Linked DNA regions of Coturnix japonica. The protein of the gene in region 6 purifies or fractionates together with the protein of the main gene of each other region. This does not show direct contact. Links are inferred from orthologs where the notes say so. Each region holds a gene or a part of one and is shown on either strand. Other genes may lie near its edges. The genes, in order: RIPK1, BTRC, caspase-8-like, SRC, FKBP5, IKBKB and CREBBP.

Region 1 (3,027 bases), on a different chromosome or scaffold from region 6:
GAGACTCCACCACCCCCCTGGGCAGCCTGATGATGAAGATGCTGAAGCTTTTTTCCTCACTGATCGTAATGCAATGCATAAACTGTTGGCTACCAAGACAAACAAAGGCTACAGCATTTACCTCTGGTTATTGGAGTTGCAGGAGGATAATATGTGAAAGTTCCCCTTGTGAAAGAGGCAGAAACCTTGATACCTAAAGAGAGAGGAAATGCCAGAAGTGTTATGGAAATTAAAAAAAACAAATCTACAAGTACTGCTGTTATTTGTACAGTGTGCATAGCGCTCTTAAATACAAAAAGACAGAAAGTTTTTTAACAAACAGGACTTTATCTCCTTTAATAACTCTGAAGCAGTTACCCTTATTGTGGTTTTGCTTATGGACTGATAGCCTTTGTGATCCTTGGATCCCAGTGAGAACAACAGGATTCCACATGGGTGTATGAACACCTGCCTGGCAGAAAGCAGCACAGGATCACAGCGTAGACACAGGTATTACTGCCTCCAAACCAAGAAGGCTGCCGAGCACATTGCTATTTACTGCTGAGACTGATCATGGTTTGTTAGCATGTTAGTTGTGACCAGCTGTAGCTGGGGATGCCACCGTATCTTCTGTTGGTAGCAATAATGTCCTGCAGAGATGTAACTTCCTGTCTGATGTAGTAATGGATTTGGATGCGCTCAGATGAGCTCTGACAGTTTGTGACTGGGCAGTAAGAGTGACTGGGTTATGGTCACCAAATAAGACAATAGAAGAACTGCAGTGCAGGTCTTCTGCATCTGCCTGATGCCTGCCATGATATTGTATGTTGCCTCCCTACAATGATTGCTTCCACTTGTTACTGACACTCACTGTTCTCTTCGTTTTCTCCATAGCTTTCTATTCCACAGTTCACTAGCAAACTGTAAGGGCATCTCTGTGTTAGCACTGAGCAGTGTTCTCTGGAGAAACCAGTTAAGAGCTTTAGTTCCTTGTTAGCTCCCTGAACTCTTAACTTGCTGCAAATCAAGCTTAAATATCTCTTTTCTGAAATGCTACATGCACATACATGAGAAAAGTTCCATTTTTGCGCACACAGCCTGTGGTGTGAATGTTACATTCTGTGAGTCAAAAATACTCCTTAGTTTTCCAAGTGTGATTAGTAAGAGCTCTTGGTTTTGTTAGCTGCTGCAGTATTATCCACTGTCTGCTATTATTAAGGCTGCTTTGTCTTTAGAGGAAAAAACACATTTTCAGAAACACAAGAGTTAAGAGGAGGAAGAATCTCACCTGTATCCACATCTGCATTCTTTTGTTGCTGGTTTACGCTGTTCTGTGCCCCCAGGTTTGGGCGAGATTCCGGCACAGGAGTTTTGCTTAGGCTAAAGGCACTTGTTGAACATGGATCATAGCGATCTTCAGTGTTTCCTGTTAGGAGACTGTTAACGTTTGGCCCATAAAAATTTTCTAAATTTCCCTGAGTTGGTATTGCAGCTTGTTTTGGCCAAAACCAAGGGTTAGTGTTTGATCCTATATTTTCAGCTTTGTAATACAGTTCACCCCATTGAGGAACAGAAGGCAGCTTTGCAAATGGATCATTGGAAACTTTAGGTCTCGTTTCTCTCTCTCTCATTTCAGGGCTGTATGGTGGAGCTACTGATTTATCCATCCGGCTGCCGTATGCATGGTAGTCGTATTCACGTTCAAGTTTTCTTTCAAGATTGTCAGGGGATGTAAACGAAGTCTCACAGCTCTCAACAGGCTGGTTCTCAGGGTAGGCAGCAAACAAGGCTTCATTAATCTGACCCTGAGAGCTGTGTAGAGAATTAGGTTGATCTGAAAGGGAAAAAAATGAAGTATTTAAAACAGATTCTATTGCAAGTATATAACTAGTGGTGACATTAGATTCTATTAATTTATTTTTAATACTATGGTAAATTATAAAAGATGAAACTGTAGCATCACTTCCAGCATAAGCTGTTTTATGTAATACTTCCCTTTCTGGGAAGTGTCACTGAATTATGCTTAGGAAAGCAGTGTCTGAATTCACTGTGTATTCTGCATATATCGACACCAGGTTCTTAGTCACTGAAACAACAGGTTCCCAGCAGCACTCATAGGGTCTAATTTACTACCAAGTCTTGACTTCATTAACTGGTATTTAACCAGTGTAAGACCAGAGTATAACAAGATGGAAGATAGAACTCACTGTAATTGGCGTTACTTAATGCAACACAAATAATTTGTCACTGAAGTCATATCTGCAAAAGATTATGTAGAAATCCTATCTGGAGATGTCACCAAAAAAAAGCACAAAAGCATCTGTAATCTGTAGTCTTACATTATTATTTTTGCTAGGGAAATGTACCTACGCTACTTTAAAAGTACAGCAATTGGCCTGCCTTACTAGGTCCAATAGTTCTACTTCTGTTATGGCAAACATAGCTTTGGTGAAGGTTTATCGGTTGCCTGTTATAGTTCCAAGTTACTTGCTTAATAAAATCTTTACAGTGGTGTGGGCAAAGTTAGTAGGATTTGACTTCTACTGGATTTTAGAAGTACTGAATGACTGAGTCTCTCCATAGCTACAAAAGGGGCAACTTTATCTTTAGCAGAGTACATGCCAGGATGATGTGCTAGTTATGCAACTTGGAACACCCACCTATTTGGCCATTGCTGGTATCTACTACAGCATCTATTTGAAGGGATTTCATCCTCTGCAGCAGTTCTTCTGACTTGGGCCACATTTCCTACATGTAAGAAAAGAGCATATGGTCAAGTTATAGGTAAAAGCTTAACGAGAGGAAGCACCTATAGAATAGAAAACACATCCTTATACTGAAGTCACCTGGGTGAACAGATTCCATCAATCTTACAGAGGACAGAGCCTTGCAGAAAATAGCCGCTGCTTTGCTACAGATGGGCAAAATCTTATCTTCAGTGAAAGGAGGAAGAACTGTAATGCAACTGTAGTAATTCTGAGCTGGCCAGAGAACACCATTTACCTAAATGAGTATAAGTTTAATTGGCACATAGGGATACATTTCATA
Region 2 (3,500 bases), on a different chromosome or scaffold from region 6:
AAATGAAGTGGTCACTAGTTTAACGGTGGTAGTTCACATGCAGCACAGTGATAACCACGAGCTGCCTGCAGCCATAGGAACACATGGTAATAGCTTCAGAAAAGGCCATTGGCACAGCTTTTTGTCATCTGTAACTTCACTGCATGGGCATTGCTGATTCTCTGACAAAAAGGGGATATGTAACAGCATGGAGAAGGCAAACTTGCTCCTTTGTGTCCAAGTTCACTCACTAATTCAAGTGTGACCATATTTACACTGCAGGATTTAGGCTCTCTGGGATCCTGTAATATGTTTGCTGGACTTTACATCTGCATAGTGAAAATGTGCACTGTGTGTGCTGACTTGAGGTGTCCAGCCTTTTACTGGAGACTGGAAAGAAAACAAGGTTAGAAAGACTGAAGGGGAAGAAACATCATGCTGAAACTTAATTAAAACTCACAGGAGATCTAGTCACACATCTTTGTTAAAATTAAGGGACAGCAGATGACTAAACCTTCAAACTTGCTTTGAGTACTTAACCAACTTGTAAAAAGTTATTCCTATGGAGGATGTAAAAGCATTCCCAGGGAGCATCCAAACACACAGCACCTTGGTGAAATGCCAAATTGTCTTCCTAAGTCATCTCCACCTTGACTGACCTTTGCTTAGGTTCTCATTTCTCCTTGACAGCCACTTGCACGGACATCTGATAAACAAGGACAGTGCACTCCTGAACAAGCGTGCAGAACTAGATCACAGAGCTAATCAAACAGCACAGATTTAAGAAAAGATCATTTCAGCAGCTTGCAAAGTTGAACTTTCTGAGGCAAATGGAAAGCTCTGAATCACAAGCACACACCTGACAGTTGAGTCTGAAGATCCAGTGATGATCACTCGCTCATCATACTGCAGGCACAGGACAGAACCCGTGTGTCCGGTGAGAATTCGCTTGCATTCTAATGTATTTTTATCCCAGATCTAGGAGAGCAAACATTAGAGAACAGACAGCTAAGTAAGGTTTACATCACACTTTAAGCACCTAGTGATCTGACTGGTCTGTTTTTCACTATTAGGCATCATCTACAATGCAGGCAGAACTACCTCAGTGGCATGATGATGTGCAGGCTGTTGTAATATGCTAACACCTTTGGTATTACGAGGTTTGCTCTGAACACTGGTCTTGCCTCCTCATCAGGGCAGAGCATATAACCTGTAATTACTGAGTGAAAACAGTCTGCTAACTAATTCTGTTCAGAAAGAAAACAGTCTCTGATGGCAAATAATAAAAGGTATATATGTTTAGGTAAGGGGTGAAGGAGAAGGCTTGTTTAGTAACAAGAGGTTGGAGAGGTGTCATTGAAATTAGGACACTGCTGTTTATGGCACTGGCACCATGTGCCATCAGCAGGCCATTCGGGAGAGTTCTCACCTTGATAGTATTGTCTCGTAGGCCACTGACTATCTTCTGATCATCGTACTGTAAACAATAAACGCCTTTGCTTGTCTCACTCCGGCAGTGGATTCTCTGTAAACTGTGCCTTCCACACCTCCAGTTTGACTCTATTGTCTTGAGGAGAGACAGGAGACAAAATAGAAGTAAAAACCAAAGACAAAACTCTCCTTTTGTTTGCTTGAGAAGAGAGCAGATACTTCCCTTTACACTTTTTCCAGCAGCAAGGCCCATAGAATGACACAGGAGTTTTCTAGAAGCAGCAGCGTGTGATGAAACCAATGAGACAGGCAAAGGCCTGGAACACACACTGTGGCCAGACTCCCTGCATGGTCTGGCATGGTGAGGGAGCAATGACCTAAAAGTTGTTTTTTCAAACTCCAACCTTTAATTCTGTGACTCTACTAAACAATTGCAGAGAAAGACCTCATGTGCATGGATGGGGCAAAGTACCACAGAATAGAGAAAGTCAAGATGGTAGTGTTCCTATGACATCTGATGTGCAAAGTGTAGAGACTCCCCAAACAATGCAGCTCCCCCTCTTTCTAAGGCAGTGATGAAGGCCTGGGAATTTATATGTAGCCCAGATCTTCCAACTCCTGATGAACACAGACACACCACACTTAATGAAATACTCCATCAGCATTAAACATTCACAGAATCTGAGCATGATGACTAAATGAGGGAGATTGTTAAAAAAAGGCAAAATGAAACAAAAAAGCCCATCGCACCTGGAAGGTACTTCTTACCTCTATATCCTGTATAATTTTGGGGTAAAGTGCTCTGTAGAAGGAGTTGGGTGGAGCAGACCCATCAGGGGGTTTATTTTTAAATAGGTATTGTCCCCTGGAAGACAAAGAACACAGATCACGTCTCAGCATTTGTGAGGAAGGTCTTCCTGGCATTTCAGAAACGGGTAACCGCTGCTGAAAAGCACACACAGATTCACAGTCAAACTTCATTTACTCAGTTACACAGGGTGGCTCCTTGTTTGTGTGTCCTGTGACACGTTGATGCTGCATTTAGACACTGAAAAATTCATGACAAAGCAGTTCTTCCTCACTCAGGGAAGGATAACGTACTATTTTGGACATGAGCCCCTTCAGCTCCATAGGAGGTTAGAATGGCTCACACCCACTGCATACATATTCATATCAGAGGTCACCTTTAAAATAAAGCATACAAAGAAAAAATGAGCAGCCAAAGAACCCTCAAGCTCTCTGTGCACTCAGGACTAGCTTTGATCTACATTAACAGGAACAGTACTAGTTTTGGAACACGGACATTTTACTGCTGCTACTTCATTTTGGTAAGCAACGCTTCATCTGTGGTGCCTTCCTCATTTCCACACTGATTTGGAATACTCATATCCCAAGCTAGATTTTTGCTACAACAAAAAATCCATAAACGGCAATCACTACCTGCTGTGTAAAAAACCTAAATTCCTCATCCTGAAGTTAAGAAGCCACCAAACACGGTGTGGAAGCTAGTAAACCCCACCATGGGCGTACTAACTGCAGCTCTGCCTGGCAACATGCCTCGCAAAATGGAGAGAGGCACAAATGCCTCCGAGTGTAATCCTGGCATCAGAGGCACGGAGTTTAGACTGGGCCAGCTCTCCACTTCCCCCTCCCTCACTCCATTACGGCATAATTAATTGCTCAATACTTCATTGTGCATTCTTTTCTTGTCCTTTCCATATAACTTATCTTGAAAGTCATTTGAGAGACTGCATTAACTGGCTACGTACTTTGGGCAAAATCCAGACTAAATCATAACAGTTTTTAGGTATAAACAGGGAGGTCAACTATAGGACTGAACAAACAAAACAACAAATACTCCAGAAAAGATCTTTTGACAATTAGGGAAACTACTTTACATTTAAATTAAGAGAAAGCTGCTTTCTACTTAGGACAAAGGAATCATCTGAGCCTTCAAACAGTAACCAGCAGCTGCCTGTTTGGGGACAAATCTTTGTGAAGAAGGGACATATGGCTGCACACAAATCAACAATTAAGTGGGTCCTTACATGATCCAGTTTGGAAGTGCAAGAAAATTACTACTACTGGCC
Region 3 (3,218 bases), on a different chromosome or scaffold from region 6:
GTCTCTTCTGAGACAAAATTGTGACATTTCTAAGACACAAACTGACTTACCTGTGAAGACTGATCACAGTTGCCCAGAGAATCAGGTGCCACAGATGATGCCAGCCATATGGCACTGTCTGAATACACACACAAAACATGTATAAGTAAACAATTAAAAGGGAGTTTAAAGCGCTGCAATCAGTTAGTAAGCAAAAGGATGCCTGATCATTGTCAGGCACATGCTTAAAGAGGCAAGATGTAAGCAGTGTAGAGAGTACAAAAAGCTGGAAAAGATCTAAACATTCATTTTTGAAAAAGTTTCAGTTACCTCTGGGGGCTCCTGTGCTGCTTCTTCGCCCCTCTGTTACAGGCATCTCTCCTTCTCCTGAAAAGCATTCATTATTAGTCCTGTAAGACACCTTATGTATCGCTTCAAGAATAAAATGTGTGAGAAAGAGGACTTGTTTTGTTTTACCAAATGTGTTAAATTCATACTCTTCAATTTTCTTCAGCAGGCTCTTGTCCACTTTTTCACAAATACTCTTCAGGACAGTTAAGTCGTCTTCTCTCAAAATCCCCTTCTTCTCCATCTCAATGAAAACGTCGAGCATTGTCTGAGCAATCAGAAAGGTAGTTTGCTCTTAGGGCAGACCCATGCTGCTACTGAGAAGGAAGCTGCAGCATGTTTAGGTGCACCCAAACTGGCTTTAGTGTACCAACAACACAAGTAAACCACTGTCAGTCTCACTGCCTCAGTTGATATCTCAAGCTGATTTAATTAAATGTAGGCTGACAAAAGCTAGGAGTACAATGACTAAAACTTTCTTCCTAAAACACACTTATTTCCTTCCCACTGCTCAGAGATGCTGAGAGCTAATAAGATCTAACCCAAGAGAGTTAATAGTAATCACACAGGAACAAATAGTGTCATTTTTAATGACTCCTATCATTTACCTGACTTTCAGTGGCATCTTTGTGCCTTTGACTGAAACCTAAGCATCACTGTAGCAAAAATGGTATAACCATGCAAATATGGTATAAAGAGTTCTCTGAAGAAAGAGAGAACCCAAGGGACAGAAGCTTTTGCTGGAGTGGCAGAGCGCAGTGGGTCACCTATGGATTTACTAAAACAGCCACCACTGGATAGGCACAGTTTATCCTCTAAGAAAAGAGGGAAGATTTTAAAAGAGATTTCATTAGGCAGAACAAAGTACCTGACAGTCAAAAGGGCAGATTGACATAGTATTCAGAGCAGCTGGATCTCTTGCAATTATGTAAGTTAACTCCAAGATCATGGGCCTTAGCTCTAGTAAGGATGTCTGCCTAGATCTGTTTGGGGTTTTCTTGTAAGAAACCAAAACATTACAGGAATAGCCCTAGTAGGTGATTCTTAATTTGTTAATGACTTACTTAGAAAGCAGCCAAAATTAAACCAGCTGGAAAAGATAAATGGAAGTGCTCAGCCTTCTACTGAAGAAAGCCAGTCAATCCTATATGGAGTTTGGGTGTGCAGGCATCATGCCTGGCCCAGGGCTGGCCTGTTCTTTCTGGGCTGGAGAAGTACTGCTGGAGCAACACATAACACTGGCATGCAACAAGTCCTCTGTGCACCATTCCAGGTCCTTTCTTTTCCTTATGGAAAAGGAACACTCATTCCCTTCAGTGCAACCTAAATGCTGCTATGTATTATAGCAATGATTTAAGGAATCAAAACAAAAGAAAAACAGAACAAACAATTCTTACAGTTTCAGGGCTTAGCTTGCACTTTGGTAATTCTTTCCACAAAAGAAACTTGAAACACTTCATCTCATCTTGGGTGATGTTTTCTGACAGCTGAAAGAGCAGATACCTAGAAGGAACAGTGGAGGACAGTTTCATTATGTTCTCCAGCATTTTCCTTAGCACAATTTAACACCGTACCATTGAACCATCCCCTCAGCTCCCCCAGCTGCCTTCCCGGGACAGCTTTTTTTCTTTTCATCTGAGGACGTTAGTCCCAGAACAGACAGAAGTCAAACCATTCCAAGCTGCAACTAAAAACATCTGTTTTCCCAAAATCAGAATTGCACGGAGTGTTTCTGCGTGAGACATGAGGGCAAAGACAGTCACACCCAGTCACTGACTGCAGCCCAGAACACCCAGGCGGGGAGGCCATTGTAGTCTGCAAATTATCTCAGAAGTGTAGAATCACCAAGGTTGGAAAAGAGCTGTAAGAGCATGTAATCCAACTGTCTACCTATTGCCAATATTTTCCCACTAAGCCATGCCCCTTAGTACCACATCCATGTGTTTCTTGAACACCTCCGGACACAGTGACTCAACCACCTCCCTGGACAGTCCATTACAGTGCCTCACGTCTCTTTCTGAGAAGAAAGCTTAGTCTTCTCTTCTATTTGACAGAAATTGTCTCTGCTGCTTATACCCGCTTTCCTTGGAAAGATGGAGATGCTTGTGTTTTGCCAAACCTTACCTGGTGCTAACTCATCAGTAAATATCTTGCACCTACCCACCCAAGCAGGATAGCTGATCCCAAGAGTGCAACTCTGCCAGGCTTTCACCCCCAGGACCCTGATGAACGCGCACTGCCAGCTGCTCACCTGAATGGAGACACCCGTGCCCTGCCTGGGACCTGGAGCTCCCTCTCCATCTCCTCTCGGCTGGAGCCCAGGTGGAAAGCCAGAAGGTCTATCCGATTGATCCGGTAGAGCAGCTCCTTCAAGAAGAACAGATCCCCTGCTTCGATCATCCCTTTCTCCTGTAATGCTTGGAAGAAGGCCTTGGGTTCCTCAATATCTTCCTGCTTTCTTACAGTGACGTGCTCCAGGCTGAGAAACTTCAGAGACGCCAGATCATTCCTGTCCAGCGCCTCGCTGATCACGTAGAGCAGCTGGGAGAACTCCATCTCCCCGCAGCAGCTCCAGCCCTGAGCTGGGATGGGCACCACTTCCTTGTGCACCCGCGCTTCCGTGCTTCCGCCCACTTCGTCCGGCGAGGCAGCGCCCAGGCTCCTGGGAGCTGTAGTTCTGTCTGGATTCCTGGCTTAAAAAAAACGCAGTTCAACTCAGAAACTGCTTGTCTGCCAGAGAGGAGCTTTCTGACACAGCTGAGGCCGTTTCCGTTCACTGTTACAGAGCACTGCTTAAAAAAAAAAAAAAAAAAATAGAGGCTGAAGAAGTAGAAAATCCCGCTGTACGCTTGGCACGGCTGGGGGGAGCACAGGGGCCGGCCAGCGCTCAC
Region 4 (4,217 bases), on a different chromosome or scaffold from region 6:
GGTGAGACTGTGTTATCTCCGGGTGCTGCAGTTCCCCATTTTCCTCTCCAAACCCTTCACCAACGCAGACCTCAAGACAGGACCCCTCACGTTACACTGTGGGTATTCCAGCTCCTCCACACCTCTGCACAGCACAGCCATCCTGGGGCTGGGAGCAGCCCCCCATAAGGTCTGAAGCAAAGCCACCAGCCAGACCCCAGCTTCCCCAGAGCTTCTCCTCCCTGTATCCCCACTATTGCTTTCATCCCCTCCACATCTCCAGCACTGCTTTGCCCCCCCCGGCAGCTCCCAGTGCATCCCAAGCATTCCCAGCTCTGTGCCCAGGAGGGCAGTGAGGAGATCCGTAGCCTGGAGGGAAGTCAGAGCAAGACGCAGATTTACAGGTCCTGGTTCCTGGCCCACGTTCAAACCACATGAAATCTGTTTCAAGGCTTTCTTTTCAGCCTGTGCATGTGCAGAGGCATGTGCAAAGCAGTGCCACTTCCCTCACACCAAGGTCACAGCACCAGAGCAGGGCTGCACTGAGCATATGGCCCACACCAACCAGCTCCTTTTTCCCCTGGCCAAGCAGACTGCAGAGCAGACTATCACACAGCATCACACTCCAGGGAGCTGACCCACACTGCTCACCCTGCATCCACACTTCCGAGAGGGCTTTGAGCTCAGAAGCTCTGAGGAAGTGAGGTCAGCTGGGAAATGGTTCCCAGAGATAAAGGGCCAAGTTAGAAACCGTGCTGCAGGACGGATGGTACAGGAAGCAATAGTGCTGCAGATAGCCCTTGGTGCTTCCCCTGCCATGCCTGGGGTGGTGCGGGGCAGCAGTGATGCACGGCTGTGCTTCCCCTTAGGCACGTGGACTGAGTGCTCCAGCCCAGGGCTTGCTGCAACCCCTTCTCCATCCAGACGTGGCACGTGCTCACTGGTCATTAAAACATGTCATTGTGAGCCAGCCCGGAGCCCATGTCCCCTCTGTGCCACCAGTTTGTTCCTTGTGTATGCAGCAGAGCCTTCACACATCAGACTCTGCAAATTACGGCCCCTTCCCTCGCTGTGCTGGGACAGACAGACCCACCTGGGTGATCTTGAGTCACTCCAGGACAATGTCATTCAAAAGCAGAGGTATCTGTAGGGCATCTCCATCACACAGGGAGCACTGCAAGGCCACTGACAATCTTAACAGCGAGCACTGCACATCCCTCTGCTGTGATGGCCCATAAGCAACCCCAGCTCCAAAATCACCGGGCTGTATTTTGGGGAAGCTCCTGAGCACGAGGTGCTCAGATAAGATCCAAAGCTAAGAAGATAAGGTCAAAGCTTGGGAATGGGTGCAGCCCACAGCCTGCTAAGGAGAGGTGCAGTGGGATCACAGACAGGCTCACAGTGGCACAGTGCTCCCCAGGGAGCCTCATCTCAGACACTGAGCAGCAGAGGTTTGTCCATGGGCCAACCATTGAGCCAGCACGAAGCAGCACAAACAAGCAGCAGCAGCAGGGGATCATCCTGCAGAAGAGTGCAGGGGAACAACAGCATCACACTGCTCCCAAGCACAAGGTCACCGGCATCCCACCACATGCCCCATCACATCCCTGGGGACAGGGGTGAGCACCAGCACGGAAGGAGGAAAAACACCAAACTGAGTCTTTTGTTGCCACATTCCCACAGCTCCGTTTACATCCGATGCTGTTGGATCAGTGCTGTCCCATTCCCAGCACTCAGGCACTGAGCACCCTACGGGCTCCAAACACCACTGAGTGGGGGAACATCACCCACGGGAGCTGCTCCCTGTACCCTCAGAGCTCCCGGGCAGCAGAGAGAAGGGACGGTCAAGAGGAAACCAAACTGCCGTGGGGCTGAGCCGGGGACCGAGCGCACTGCATGGGGTCACGGTCAGCAGGGGAAAGTCCACCCAGGCCCCGGCGTGGTTCAGACAAGTCCCACGGTGCTTCCTCGCGGCGGAGACACGCACAGCAGCCGGGCTGCTCCGGGAGAACCTGCCGGCCGGGTACAGCCCTTCCCCGGGCAGCGCGGGGCTCTGCAGCCTCCCCGGGCGAGGGCAGAGCGAACGCCCGGCGGAGCGCGGACACGAGCCCCGAATCACCGACGAGCGAATATCGAGAGGGAAACGGAGCAGGAGACATCAAAGCAGGGGGGCGATGAATATTTCATGCCCCGGCCTGCACACAGCCCGGCTCTCCCTGCTCTGCTCTCCCAGTGTTTCCCGCAGCCCCCGATCACAACAAAGGGGAGTGCGGGCAGGCGGGGCCGGACCCCGCAGCTCCCCCCTCCGCTCCCCCGGCGGGCCCGTCCCCATCCCCCGGCAGCCCCGCAGCCGGCCCCGGGACCCCGCGCACTCTCCGCCGGACCCACGGCCGCCCCACGCAACCCGGAGCCGCCCCGCCGTTACCGCGGGCATTACGGAGCCGCCCCGCTGCCACCCGGGCATCCTCCACCGCACGGCGAGCATCTCCCGCCGGCCCCGCAGCCGGACCCCGCGGGGACCATCCCCGCCGCCGGACCCCGCGCAGCCCCCGCTCACCTCCCGCGTGTGCGCCCCGCGAGGCCGGACCCCGCCGCTCCCCTCCAGGGCTCGGCCGCGGCTTTGTCTCCGTGCCGGGGGCGCGGCCGCCGCCCCCCGCAGCCGCCGCCGCCGCTCTGGGTGCCCGCACCGCGGGCCGGGCCGTGCCGGACGCTCAGGGCTGCGCCGCCGGCAGCATCGCGCAGCACCGCGGATCCGGAGCGCCGCTTCCCCGCCCCCGATCACCCCTTGTACGGGGTGTGTGTGTGTGTGTGTGTGTGTGTGTGTGTGTAAGGGGGGAACAGCCCACAGGGAGGGAAAAAAAACTAGGAATATGGCAGCAGTAAACCGGAAACGGCTTATAGGAAAAAAAAAAAAAAAAAGAAAAGAAAAATCGCCGAGCCCCTCCCCTCGGGTTTTTTTTTTTTTTCTTTTAAGGAAGAAGCCTCCGGGCTGCCGGGCTCGGCGGGGTGCGGAGCAGCGACCGGAGCCGCCCCCGCCCGCGGCTCTACCGACGCACCCCGTCCCGGAGCCGCCCGGTCGCGGCGGGGCCACGCGTGGGAGCGCGGCGCGGTTCTGAGCTCGGCTCCGAGCTGCCCGCCCGGGATCGGCGAGAGGAGAGCGGTGATTTGCACTGAGGTTACAACCCGGCTGCTTTGCGGTTCGCTTTTATTATAGCGACCGGGGCACGCAGCGAACAGCCGCTTTGTGATGGATTCTGCGCCCTCCTGCATCCTCGTCCCCATCCCCCTGATCTCGGGGAGGAGGCAAAACTTCAGCGCAGGGGAATAAACAGGGAAAGAAGAGCGTGCCGTGAGCCTCCCCGTGGAGCCACGAGCGTGGACGTCGTGCCCACCCCTCGTGCTGCCCCTCACAGCGACCAGAGCGGGGGCTTCTGGAAACTCCAGCGCTTCAGAATCAGTGCGGAGGGTGACTGAGTTTGTTTGCAGTGCGCACCCCTCCCCCGGCTCATTTGAGTTATTAAAAAAATATTTCCCGTGACACTGCCGAGGGCCAACAAACCCATGAGTCACCGGGAGTCATGCACACACCGAGCCGTCCCCACCGGCCAGCGCATCGCACGGGGGGGCCTTCCTGCCAGGAGCAGCCTGATCATCGCTCCCTGCATGAATTGGAGGCTGCGGCCCCAGACTGCAGCCTGGTGTCCGTGGAAAGTCCTTTCGGTGTTGTTAATTCTACAGGGCATAGCAGGGCATGGATGGATGCTGCACCCACAGCGGCTGCCCCAGCCCCACAGCCCCGCAGCCTCCTGCAGGCAGCACAGCCCCGGGCACCGGGCTCGGCCCCAGCCCCGAGGTGCTGCTGCACGGGCTGAGCCCAGACCCACATTGAAAATGGCCACCAGACACTCCTGGCATCCAGCCTCTCCTCTTTGGGGCTCTGGCTCAGCAACGTGCCCTCGCAGCACCCTGGCAGGGGCCCTCCCGGCTCACGGCTCAGCTCTGTGCCCGAGGCGCGTTCACCTGCAGCCCTCCAGCTGCCCTCTCCTCCTGCCCCACTCCCAGCCCTGCTCTTCTCACCATCCCACCCATGCTCTTTGTGAGGCATTCCACTCCCTTCCCTGAAACCTCTTTCTTCTTTCTCTTCACCTTTCAGTAGCACCAAAAACACACGGTGGGGGGGCAGGGCAGAGAGGGATGCAGAGGCTGAAACTAGAAGTGAAAGGCAGGTGCTTTCCAAT
Region 5 (3,976 bases), on a different chromosome or scaffold from region 6:
GCAGCAGAGCTGCCACGAGCTCATCGCTGCTCACACAACAGAGGGGAACGTGGTCTCATTTCCTTCCAGGCTGAAAAAAACAACACATTTGCTCCTGTTTGCACACCAAAACACAGCCTGCAGGCCACGGAACAAACTTAACTGGGCTCTGCTGCTGCATCCCTGCTGCACCACATCCCCATGCATGAGGAGCACATGTCACTATAGCATGGGGTAAGCAAGGGATTTCCCGTACGCCAGGTCTCTTCCAAGTTAGAGTTTTCTTCTGGATAAATTCAGGAAAGAACATTAGATTTTGATAAAGACATCTCAGTGCTTGTAACAGAGGGCTTTCTGCAGTGCACCGGTTCCTTTCAGCCAGGTGAGCCTCAACTGCAGCAGCTCTCCAGTAATAGGGGGCTCTATTTCATCACTTACATCCTCAGCAGCATTTTGAGAGCACAGAGTGAAATCCCAGAACATCAATCCATGCACACCTGTATGGGGCACAGACCTCCACCTCTGCCTGCACAAAGCAGTGCTCAGGTGAAGGTGCAGTCAGATGCAAGGAAGCTTCTGCAAGAGCAGGTTCTGAGGACCTCTGCTGAGCTACACACGCATGCAAATGTGCACAACTACACGTGCATGCACAATGTGCACAGCCACTTATGCATACAAATGCATACCCCACGTGTGCACAACCACGTGTGCAACCACACACCAGTATGCACAAACCAGTGATGCACACACCAACAGTGCACACTGCGCTGACAGCCAGAAACACTGTTATTGGCAACCAAGACAACACTGCCAAGGGCTAGTTTGATTTAATTAAGCAACTAACGTAAATTTTAAAAACTCCTTGAAGTGGGAATACCTTTAATTAGGGCAATTCTCCACAAGCAGCACTACTGTTTGCGAGCAGCTCCTTCACAGAGCTCCGGAGATTCCCCACTTTGCAGAACACACCACTAGCAGCACCTTACCCCCAATTTCTGCAGCTCCTAAGCAGGTCTGCTCCTATCTGGGCAGTGTTTCCCGGTGTTCTCCCTGTGCTGGGGGTTAAAGATTGACACAAGGCGCTATGCAGGTGCCCAGGGATGCTTTTGGAATGCATCTCCCCACCTCCTTGCAGCACACAGACTCCCGTGGTAACTAGCATAGAAAGTGACTAGCCGAGAAGCAGTGGCACAGCTCAGAGCTCAGCAAAGCCTTTATCAGCACCGAACAATGGGGTGGAAGCATTGGCCAAACTTGAGACCGCCTCTCCCTGGGCTCATCTAGCAGCTAATTATCCTTGAGGAACTAACAAAGGTGGGCAGGCCCGGGTGTCCAGGTGGAGCACCTCCAAGCTTCCTAGTGAGCCTTCTCCTTTGCTTGGCTGCAATTAAAACCCACCTAATTGCACAGGGGCGTTCTCAGCAGGGTGGTTTGGGGTCTGCTGTCTAGAAATCTCGGGTGCTGCTCTCCCCCTGCTCACAGGGAACTGACCCCAGTCCCTCCTCGTCCCAAGGGGAGGGGACCTCACGGGAACATGCAGCCCGTGTCCTGCGGGTTCCCCAGCACCGGGTCCCATGTGTGGCCACCTCCAGGGCCCTGTTATGGCTGCCCCATGGCCACCTCTGGAGCCAAACCACAGCCATCACAGAGGCTTCTTCCAGCACCACCTCCAGGCTCACCCCATGGCTGCATCCAGAGCCACTCCCTACTATCTCACCATCGGGTGCACTTTTCCCTCCCAGGGTTCCAGCAGCTATCACTATCTCCAGCACCTCCACAGAAACCTACATTCCTCCTCCTGCCCCATATTTCCTCCTCCCACCCCATATCTTCTACTCCCACTCTATTTTCTCCCTGCTTTCTCCCACATCCTGGCCCACCAAGGCAGTGTAATGTCACACGATGGGGTCCAGGACTCACACGGCATCCCCTGCCACAGCACCACGGGGACACTGACTTGGCTCAACCCTGGGTTACCCCTTACAGTTTGTAACTCCCATAGGTCAGAACAGCCAGGGGACAGCTGGGGTGACAGCAGCACATCCTGCCAGGTGTGGGTTGGGTGAAAAAACAAACACAAAATCCAGATGATTTGGGAGACCCACACCACTACAGGCAGAGGAAACAGTGGGATCTGAACCAGACGCCCCATTTACTTTGTCCACGCTGCTGCACCTGCCCTGAATAAAACTGCACGTTGCTGCCTGCACTCGGGGGTATTTTTGGTCAATGCCATTAGGAAACTCATTAAATCCTCACCGCGCAGCAGCCTCATTTTCTGACTGAGAATAAATCCCCTCTTTGGACACTGCAGTACCGACGGGCCTCGGTCCTCATCCCAACTGTAATCCTGGTCCCAATCTTAATACCGATCCTAATCCCAATCCTGATTCCAGCCCCAATCGCAATCCTAATCCCGGTCCCAGTCGCCAGACGAACCCCAATCCCGATCCTAATCTCAAACTCGATCTCAGTCCGACTCCGGTTCTGCCGCGAGGGATGCGCTGCTCCGTGGGCACGAGCGGAGCGCACCCAAAGGCGCAGCGCTACGGACCTCAGTCCCTCCCTCGCCCCCTCCGTGGGCGTAACGCTCCGTTCCCCCCTCTCCACACTCCACAACCGACACGGCTCGGCCCCACGCGTGATGCTGCTCCCATCACCCCCATCCCGGCCCCACGCGTGATGCTGCTCCCATCACCCCCATCCCAGCCCCACCTGCTGCCGCCCGCGCTCCGCCACCGCTCGGCTCCGAAGTGGCATCGCGCGCCCGCGCCGGCCGGGTTTCCCCGTCGCTTCGCCCCGCCCCTCTCCCCATCTCCCATTGGTAGCTTCGTCCGCCCGTCTGCTCCACACCGCCCGCAACGCTTTCTCATTGGCCGGAGTGGAGGCGGTATGCAAATCAGAGCTTTTCCCCGCCCCGCGGTGTGACCCGCTGATCCCGGCTCCTGCTCCGAGACGTTTCCAATCACTGCGTTTCTCTCCACCAGGTAGTGAGTGTGAGTGTGAGTGTGAGTGTGAGTGTGAGTGTGAGTGTGAGTGTGAGTGTGAGTGTGAGTGTGTGGGGCATCACTGACACAGCTGCACCTCGTGCAGGATCCCGCGCTGAAGCCAACATCCTACAAAGCTGCAGCTGTGGGGGCTGCGTTGGGCTGCGCGTGACTGCGGCGCTCCATTTGTTCACGTGCAGAGAAAACTAAACGTGTACGAGACTTTGCATTGGAGCAGGGCACCGGGGTGTCTGTACCAGAGCCCTTCCAGCGGCTGTAGCAGCAGCGCGGCGTGGGGGGGCTCAGTCCTCCCCCAGCCCAACTTTGCAATTGGTGTTTGTAAGGAAATTCGATGTTAGAAGAGCACGAGCTGACGTCAACTTCCCCATGCCAGGAAATGCACGGTGCAGCCCTGTCCTCGCCTCACCCGCCCGCAGTGCCTGGGTGTTGTAGCACAGCGTTACGCAAGATCCCGCTGCGCTGGGCTGGGAGCGGAGCTGCAGCCCCCAGCAGTGACATGGGGCGCAGGGAGGTGATGGCAGGATTGGGGCCCACAGGAGACAGCCGTGGGCATAGGAAGAGTGGGGACGTGCTGCAGCGTGGCACTGCAACAGGGGGAAGTCTTGCATGGTTTGGGTGCAAAGCCCTGGTGCTGGGTGTGTTGCTCCCTCCCACTCCCCCCCAGTGCCTGCCCCATCCCAGGAGGAAATCTGCTCCTCTGGAGCAAAATTCCAGGAATAATCTCTGAAGGCTCCGCACAGCTGCCAGGGCACTGCTTGTCCCTCGTCAGTCATCCTTCTGGCATATGGCTGTCCCTGGTGGGGACAGGGATCAGGGTGAAGCCTTGAGCTTGGGCACCCCAAGTGATAGCTGGGCATGCTGACACCTGGGTACCCTTGGGGTGACAACCTGGGGATGTGCTCCCACACCATGTACAGTGTGAGGGCAAAGCCTTCTGCCCAAAGGTAGGAAAAAGGAAAAAGGGGAAGGGGAAGGAAAAAGGAGAGGAG
Region 6 (4,207 bases):
AATGACAGCTTCTCCACCCTATATCCCATTGAAGGATCGCAGTCCCACGTATTCTCAAAACACAAGATGTTCAGGCATGAACAATTAAGTTTTTTTTTATTTGTTTGTTTTTTTACAGACAAAACCATGGAGCTGGGACCTCTCCTAGCAATAATTAGGGCTTCAAGCCTCAGTGCATCCATAGGATGAGAAAGGGAGAGTGGAAAGTCAGTGTTACTGCAACTTTGCTGGGTCCTTCATAAGCATTTCCCCTGGAGCCTAGCAATACCAGCTCCACTGTCAGCTGTAAGTTACAGGTCTCATCTATGGGCAGGTTATAGCACTGTCAGCTGTAAGTTACAGGTCTCATCTATGGGCAGGTTATAGCAAAGTCAGCTGTAAGTTACAGGTCTCATCTATGGGCAGGTTATAGCGAAGGTTTAAAAAAGCAGTAAGATAAGAAGCAGCACTAGTAACTGTATTTTTTTCCTATTACAGACAGGGCCTGCACCTTGAGCTACAATGGTCTTGGACGTGCTCCAAATCCTGTTGCATATCCTTCACACATGCTCTCATCTTCTACATGCAAAATTGCTGCATTGTTACTTGCAGACAAATAAAAGTCAAAAGCCTCAGAAAGCACTAGAGATTTTCAGAACTTTATCAAGGACTAACGTGTAAAATCCTCTTGGTATCACATAAAGAATTAGGAAGCATCAGAACATGAAAATATGCTTTAAAGAGAAACTCCTAAAAAGAAGCCCCTAGGTTCCATTCCGCTGGGAAGCTAATCCAGCTTTTAACCTTTCACCACCACCACCTGTCTCAGCTGCAGCTGGGACAGTACTGCGTTCTTCAGAGTGCAGGGCATGACACCGTGTATTGGTTCTATAAGAAAAACAATGCTGATACACACCAACGTTTATAGCTGCTGCTAAGCAGTACTGCACAGCATAAGGGCCATTCTCAGCAAAGGCCCAAGTTACTAGGAGGGAACAGGATTAGGACAGCTGACTCAAACTGATGGTGAACAGGATATGAGGGGCTGAGGGCCGGCTCTTCCAGGCTTATTTGTCATAATAATGATCTATTCTCTGACTCAGTAAATAGTTTTTATCTCAACCCACCGAGTCCCACTTTTGTCTTTCAGTTCTCTCCCCCATCTCACTGGGAAGGAGAGGACAGTGAGTGAATGACTGGCACCTCACAGGAGCACCTGGTGAGCTCACCTTGCGGAGGTCCCCACCCTGGCAGTACTCCATGGCCAGCAATGGCAAATCATTCGGTGCAAGCTTCTGCATTCCCTCAGGAACATCACGGGCAGCCACCACATTGGGATGGTTCAGCCTGAGAAACAGAAATAAGGCAAATGGACACCGCACCAGAACCACACCTGCACAGCCTCACACAGTCATGGTTGTCACATTAAGTCCTATAAGGCCATTAATGCTTTTAGAAACTGAAAGTCAGCTCTAACAGCCTGCAATTTATCCATCCCTCACAGGCCTACAAACTCATTCCAGCTCTTTGCACACCCTATGTGTGCCACAGATGTATCACAGGTGTGACATGGAGCTACAGGACGAGCTCAATGCCCCGCCGGGCCGGTATCACCCCCCAGCAAGTTGTTTAGCAAGAGCTAATCAACCCAACACCCCGTGTTAACCAACCCAGAACCCCACAGCACAGCCCTGTGCAGATGCTAACACAGCAGAGCTGCTACGAGGAAAGCCTTAGACCCGAAGCTCTCAGGAATAACAAAGACCTTCAGCACGTCCTCGCTCCATGCCGGACCAGCCGCCCCTCCTGCCCGTACCTCAGTGCAGCCATTACTATAACGCCTATGCCCCTGTGAGGACAGGCTGAGGGAGTTGGGTTTGTTCAGCCTGGAGAAGAGAAGGTTGCGGGGTGACCTCATTGCAGCCTTTCAATACCTGAAGGGAACTTACTCCCAGGAGGGGAGTAAACTCTTGGAAAGGGCTGACAATAGCAGGACTAGGGGAAATGGTTTTAAGTTAAAAGAGGGAAGATTTAGGTTGGATGTTAGGGGGAAGTTCTTCATAGGAGCGTGGTTAGGCCCTGGAACAGGCTGCCCAGGGAGGTTGTGGATGCTCCGTCCTTGGAGGTGTTCAAGACCAGGTTGGACGGGGCCATGGGCAACCTGATCTATGGAGTCTCTATGGGGTCTATGGTGTCTCTATGGGGATCTATGGGGTCTCCTGGGCAACCTGATCTAGTAAATGTGTATGTTCGGTGGCCCTGCCAGGCAGGGGGGTTTGGAACTACATGATCCTTGAGGTCCCTGCCAACCCGAGTCATTCTGTCATTCTATAACGCGCCCATCAGGGCCGGGCCCGGCAGCGCGGGGGCGTTGGGCTCCACTCGGCCCGTCCCGCAGCGCCAGGCCCCGCTGCTCCCCATCACCTCCTCACGATCTCTATGTCCCTCACCTCTTCACGATCTCTATTTATCTGCCTCACCTCTTCATGATCTGTATCTCCAGGGACCAGCGCTCCCGGTTCCTCGGGCTCAGCTCCTGCCGGCACTGCTTGATGGCCACCTGCTCGCCGGTCTCCTGCGGACACAGCGCGGGGTCGGCTGAGCGCCGGTCGGGCCGGGCCCGGCGGAGCGGGACGGGACGGGCCGCCTCCTACCTTGTTGTGCCAGCGGATGACGTTGCCGAAGCCGCCGGTACCGAGGCGCTCCTTCATCTCCCAGGGGCCGCAGGTCTGCGCCTGCAGAGCCGGCGGGCGGCTCATGGCGGACGGAGCGCGGCGCCTCCGCGGGGCCTGGGCCGTCTCCGCCGGCACTTCCGGCTCCGGAGGCACGTGGTACGAGGCGGCCTTAAAGGGGCCGCGACCGCCTTCCGTCAAGTGAGGGCTACAAAGGCGATAAGGAGCAATAAATTCAGCTTTTCCAATGAAGAAACTCTGAGACGTAGGACTCAGGCTGCAGTAGGGCCGCCTTCCGTGGTTGGTATGTATTGTAAAAATGATGTGGTACTTACCACAGAATCACGGAATTATCAAGGTTGGAAAAGACCTAGAAGATCATCCGGTCCAACCATCACCAATACTTCCCAGTTAAATCATATCCCTCAACACAACATCCAGGCAACATAAAGCAAGAAAACACGTTTCTGAAGCCTTTTACACTTCCTGCATTTTGCACCTGGTGTGGAACTGAAAGAATCATAGAATCATAGAATTACCCAGGTTGGAAAAGACTTTGAAGATCATCAAGTCCAACCGTAGCCTAACCAGTACCCTATAACCACAGTACCCTATAACCATAGTACCCTATAACCATAGTACTCTATAACCATAGTACACTATAACCATAGTACCCTATAACCATAGTACTCTATAACCATAGTACCCTATAACCATAGTACTCTAACTCTAAAAACCCTACACTAAATCGTATCCCTGAGTACCACACCCAAACAGCTCTTAAACACAACCGGGGATGAAGCAGAGGCTTCAGGCAGCACCTGAGCAGCTGAACAGTACGTAGGGATCCTAACTTAGCAGCCTCTAAAAAAACCCTGTCCTGATGCAGGATCAGCTGGGAGGTAAAGCAGCGGACACTGCTGAATGGGGAAGGTGCTGTTACTGCTTGCTTTCCTAAAGCACAGTAAGAAGCACACAGAGCACCCACACCACTCTCTAGAAAGCTACAGCTGACCTTAAGCTCAAAAAGCTGGGAAATAACAACTTCTGAAATCCTCACTGGAAGCCATTACTTCATTAGGAACTTTAGAACTCCAATAGCAAAAAAAAAATCATCTTTAAAAGAGATAGAAATTAGCCCGTTTGTTCAGCAGAGCCCAACCAACCTTTCTCAACACAGTCCCATTTGTTCCTAAAGCAGATGTATGGCACTTATGTTCACACGTGCAGATGCATATGACAACCTTGACACAGGTTTCCATACAGAAAAGACTTAAACATTCAAGATAAAGTTTCCTCTTTGCCAACGTGCAAAATGACCCTCAGCATGTTTGCTGACAGAGGATTCTGTGCACTTACGTCCTGAAAATGAGAGGTCCTAACATTTCTTCATTGATATTAATTAACTTGGGAGTTGATTCCAGCAACACTGAGGCACACTGTGACACAAGGTCTCTGTGCCCAAGATTCCGAGGGGATGTCACTGCAGTGCAGCACGCTGCTCCAGCTCAAAGCAGGGCTTTCTCAGCACTACAGCTAAGCCTGCAGACCTCTGG
Region 7 (3,500 bases), on a different chromosome or scaffold from region 6:
AACACAGTGAAGCTCCACCATCCAGAGAGGAGACCAACAGCATATTTTCTCCTTCTCTTTTGACACTGTTGGCTGCTCCTGTGTCAAGATTCATCCAGCAAAGGAATCCCGCAGAGCCAGCTCTCCAGAAGGTAACCAGATGTCCTGAGAGCTGGCACAGGGATCTCCTGGCCGTGCCATGCAAAGAGTCCCGGTCCAATGGACTGTTAATTGATTTTCAAAGTGTTAATACTTCCAAGATTTACATGCATCATTACAACCACTTGGCAACAGTGGCATGGCAACAGCCATGTTTCTTTCAATAGTGGATGACAAGGACAAGAAAGGCAATGCATTTTCTGAAAAATAATGATAACTTGGAGAGCTCTTTGAACATCTCAGCAGTGTAATTACATTTATTTCCTTAGGAACAGGGGCTTTAAATAGGGAAGAATGCCTATTATTCAGGAAAAAAAGACGACAACTAAGAAGAGCAGGATGGCATTTAATATTTATCTACCTGGCTGAAATGAGAACAATACCAATAAAAGGGAGCAATTAGGAGTTCTCTTGAAAGCACTTAAATCAATAGGGCTACAGTGACCCCTCTGAGGCTGATCATTGCTTTTGTTGTTCAGACTGTGCTTTATTAAGATACAGACTGGCTTGAGGGGGAGGGAAAATTCTGGTAAGAAAACAAAAAAAATATATATTTTTGTAATTTTTATTTTTTAAACTTTTTCCCCTCCTTTTTTATTAGTGGTTTATTTTTGAGAGGATTTTTTTTCCTCTCAAAACATGGGAAAAAGGCATTAGAAGTTAAGCTGACTCAACTCAAGACATTCTGAAGCTTTACGCTCCCTATGTTTTCAGGCATCTGTGGATGCTGAAGCTCCTGCAAGTTGTAAGTCAGGATGAAAACAGTCCCTGCAGAGCAAATGGAAGCTGGAATATAGTTTGAATGCATTGCCTGTACCTGGGAGAGGATTGCTGCTCGTGCACAAGTGGCAAACTAACACAGCTCAGCCAGCTAAATCATGGCAAAGGGCTACGCAAGCTGACACAAGGCTGCAGCAAGGCCCTGCTGTGGGCCTGCATTGAGCCCCCACTAACTCTGTTCTTATGGCACCAAGCAACACAGCCATGACTTCAGCTGATCCACCACCTCACTGCTGACAACACAGTAATTTGCTTCCACTACACTTTCCCATGCAAAGAATCCTTATATATACTCTCAAAACTGTATAAATAAAGTTGTATTACAGAATTCAAGAACAGTGGGAAACACAGCGTAAATACTATGTATTATTTCTGCAACTGTTTTATCCACGTACTTTATAAACCTGATAATTCAAATGACTTCATTTATTTGAATGTCAGAACGTACCTTTTAATGACCCATTCTGGACACCTTGACACTGCTCTAAGAAGTCTCCCTGCACTGACCCACATAACAACAGCTAAAGAACCTTTCTAAACAGATCTGATCCCAATTTAAATCGGAACAACAGAGCTTCAGCAGAACTTCTGTTAAGTAACTCACAGACTAAGCATCATTCCTGAAAACATTTATCATCTACTTTCATATTGGTTTACAACATATGTGTATTTAAAATCCAGTTATTCAGAGTTATGACTTCACTTAAAAATATGAAGAAAAGTTGCCTTCATCTTTAACTCCTAAGGAAGGTGATTAAAAACAGAGCATTCGATCACAGCATCCCTCTGTCTGCAGGTAAATAGGGAAGTCACTGTCACTCTTCCTCACTTATATGCTCCTGGTTCTCCTCCTGCAGCACATCTCTGTAAGGAGCACATCCAACTATCCCTATTTCGTCTTAGCTGTGTAGGTGGTAAGAACAAAGAGGGATCTCTGCCTGCATCACAATGTGCTCCCTGACAAAGAACAGTAAGGCACCCCCTTTTTTAACTCCTAAAAGAAGTTTCACTTCTTCAAACAGGAAATTTTGCTTATGGTTACTAAGGAGAAAATCCTGAAAGGAAGATGAAGATGTCTTGAAAATAAGGAATACACTGAGGAACCTTCCCTCAACCCAGACCTTTCATTATTACGACCTATAACAAAGGAAGAGACCAATAAAACTCATCCTGCAGGCCATCACACTATAAGGCAGGCAGCTACAACGAGAAGAGGTGATGGGAATATTACTTCTATTGAGAAGACTGCAAGGGAAGAGGCAAGCAAACAAAAGCCTTCCCTTCAATCTATGGTGTTCAATACAACTCCCATGCCATCAGGAGTCTCAAATACCAATGGAAAATGAAACCAATGTAATGAATGAAAAAACATGAGATGAGTCTCGTAAGCAGTTTTAAGATACCATAAAACCCTTAAGCACACTTCACTGTATTTGCTCTTGAATACTTCTTGGTTTATTTTGTGTTTAAATGCAAATGCTCCGTTAAAGCTGGATAAACTACTTGGTGAGGAAATGGCTCAGTTTAAAATTGCGTATGTAGTTATACCTGCCTGAGCCACACATATATTACACTGTATGGCTACTTAGTGACAGCATTTCTATGACAAGAACAGTGTTACTAAAGGAGGTGTTGGAAACACAAGTAACCCAGACTGAATCACCAGAATGACACAGTGCAGCTCTGCCTCTGTAAGAACCATCTTCTCCCAGCTACTGACCTGCAAGAACACTTAAGGAGAAGCAATGATTCTTAACACTGGGAATTCAACCTGTTTGTAACTGTTAGTTTGAAACAGGCTCTGCAGCGCACTCTGGTTTGGTTGGCACATTGTGTTACAAACTGAAATTCACATCCACTGCTTTATTCTAAGAAGACTATGTCTAATAATTAAATGCAATGCAAGGTATATACAAGAGATCAAGATTCAATCTCTACAAACTAAAACTTTATGATTTCTTGGGCACATCCATGCATCTGTGATGTTATTCTAATGTAATCCTATGTAGCTTTCTTTCAAAGAAAAGAGCTCCTGTGAAAGAGCGTTGGCCAAGATGTACGGGGAGGGATTCATGCACATCACCTGAGCAGCAGCCACTTCCTTACCACCTGAGTCCTTCTGGGCAGAAACTGGAAACTGCGAGGATACTGCTGGCATCAAGAACACAACACGCTGCTCCCACCTCTGATTCAAGTAACATTAAAGGAATTCTACTTTCAAAAACAAACGAGCCCCTCCCAGCACAACACAGACCGTAGAAAACAGAAGAGCTCTTTAACAAAGTATGCAAGAAATCAGTTTTCAGACACATACTTTTTTTGCGGGGCTGAGATGGTGATGTGGATTGTGAAGTGGTTCCATTTGTGCCACTTTCCTCTTCCTCCTTAGCATCTACTTTTATTTCAGGCTTCTTTTCTTCTATTTCCATTGGCTCTTGTTTCAGCTCAGTTCCTTCTGTTTCCTCTTTTGTTTGTGAAGATCCTTGTAAATCCTCCTCCACCTTAAGAAAGGAGGCAATAAGATGCACTGTTACACCTCTGACCCAGGCTTCAGTCCTTTAAATATTAGCTTATGAGATTGT

The links.
Region 1: the proteins of IKBKB (region 6) and RIPK1 fractionate together in Homo sapiens (co-fractionation; 3 studies listed by BioGRID, with this or other methods). This does not show direct contact. The link is inferred for Coturnix japonica from reciprocal best matches to the Homo sapiens genes IKBKB and RIPK1.
Region 2: the proteins of IKBKB (region 6) and BTRC purify together in Homo sapiens (affinity purification with western blotting; 3 studies listed by BioGRID). This does not show direct contact. The link is inferred for Coturnix japonica from reciprocal best matches to the Homo sapiens genes IKBKB and BTRC.
Region 3: the proteins of IKBKB (region 6) and caspase-8-like purify together in Homo sapiens (affinity purification with western blotting; 3 studies listed by BioGRID and IntAct, with this or other methods). This does not show direct contact. The link is inferred for Coturnix japonica from reciprocal best matches to the Homo sapiens genes IKBKB and CASP8.
Region 4: the proteins of IKBKB (region 6) and SRC purify together in Homo sapiens (affinity purification with western blotting; 3 studies listed by BioGRID and IntAct, with this or other methods). This does not show direct contact. The link is inferred for Coturnix japonica from reciprocal best matches to the Homo sapiens genes IKBKB and SRC.
Region 5: the proteins of IKBKB (region 6) and FKBP5 purify together in Homo sapiens (affinity purification with mass spectrometry; 3 studies listed by BioGRID and IntAct, with this or other methods). This does not show direct contact. The link is inferred for Coturnix japonica from reciprocal best matches to the Homo sapiens genes IKBKB and FKBP5.
Region 7: the proteins of IKBKB (region 6) and CREBBP purify together in Homo sapiens (affinity purification with western blotting; 3 studies listed by BioGRID and IntAct, with this or other methods). This does not show direct contact. The link is inferred for Coturnix japonica from reciprocal best matches to the Homo sapiens genes IKBKB and CREBBP.

What each region holds. Positions count from the first base shown.
Region 1 is NC_029517.1:63,195,276-63,198,302, reverse strand, and holds part of RIPK1 (receptor-interacting serine/threonine-protein kinase 1), read right to left. Parts: intron 2,728-3,027; coding exon 2,640-2,727; intron 1,814-2,639; coding exon 1,268-1,813; intron 194-1,267; coding exon 122-193; intron 1-121. UniProt on the Homo sapiens protein: Serine-threonine kinase which is a key regulator of TNF-mediated apoptosis, necroptosis and inflammatory pathways.
Region 2 is NC_029521.1:19,987,210-19,990,709, forward strand, and holds part of BTRC (F-box/WD repeat-containing protein 1A), read right to left. Parts: intron 2,276-3,500; coding exon 2,179-2,275; intron 1,547-2,178; coding exon 1,409-1,546; intron 958-1,408; coding exon 839-957; intron 1-838. UniProt on the Homo sapiens protein: Substrate recognition component of a SCF (SKP1-CUL1-F-box protein) E3 ubiquitin-protein ligase complex which mediates the ubiquitination and subsequent proteasomal degradation of target proteins. Recognizes and binds to phosphorylated target proteins.
Region 3 is NC_029522.1:9,936,816-9,940,033, reverse strand, and holds part of caspase-8-like, read right to left. Parts: intron 3,117-3,218; exon of another isoform or gene 3,021-3,116; coding exon 2,579-3,020; intron 1,831-2,578; coding exon 1,725-1,830; intron 596-1,724; coding exon 310-595; intron 119-309; coding exon 51-118; intron 1-50. UniProt on the Homo sapiens protein: Thiol protease that plays a key role in programmed cell death by acting as a molecular switch for apoptosis, necroptosis and pyroptosis, and is required to prevent tissue damage during embryonic development and adulthood.
Region 4 is NC_029535.1:4,438,571-4,442,787, reverse strand, and holds the start of SRC (proto-oncogene tyrosine-protein kinase Src), read right to left. Parts: upstream 2,801-4,217; 5' UTR 2,537-2,800; intron 1-2,536. UniProt on the Homo sapiens protein: Non-receptor protein tyrosine kinase which is activated following engagement of many different classes of cellular receptors including immune response receptors, integrins and other adhesion receptors, receptor protein tyrosine kinases, G protein-coupled receptors as well as cytokine receptors.
Region 5 is NC_029541.1:463,448-467,423, forward strand, and holds the start of FKBP5 (peptidyl-prolyl cis-trans isomerase FKBP5), read right to left. Parts: upstream 2,801-3,976; 5' UTR 2,740-2,800; coding exon 2,695-2,739; intron 1,035-2,694; exon of another isoform or gene 857-1,034; intron 1-856. UniProt on the Homo sapiens protein: Immunophilin protein with PPIase and co-chaperone activities. Component of unligated steroid receptors heterocomplexes through interaction with heat-shock protein 90 (HSP90).
Region 6 is NC_029537.1:4,085,640-4,089,846, reverse strand, and holds the start of IKBKB (inhibitor of nuclear factor kappa-B kinase subunit beta), read right to left. Parts: upstream 2,801-4,207; 5' UTR 2,739-2,800; coding exon 2,634-2,738; intron 2,555-2,633; coding exon 2,460-2,554; intron 1,327-2,459; coding exon 1,209-1,326; intron 1-1,208.
Region 7 is NC_029529.1:11,029,537-11,033,036, forward strand, and holds part of CREBBP (CREB-binding protein), read right to left. Parts: intron 3,420-3,500; coding exon 3,233-3,419; intron 1-3,232. UniProt on the Homo sapiens protein: Acetylates histones, giving a specific tag for transcriptional activation. Mediates acetylation of histone H3 at 'Lys-18' and 'Lys-27' (H3K18ac and H3K27ac, respectively).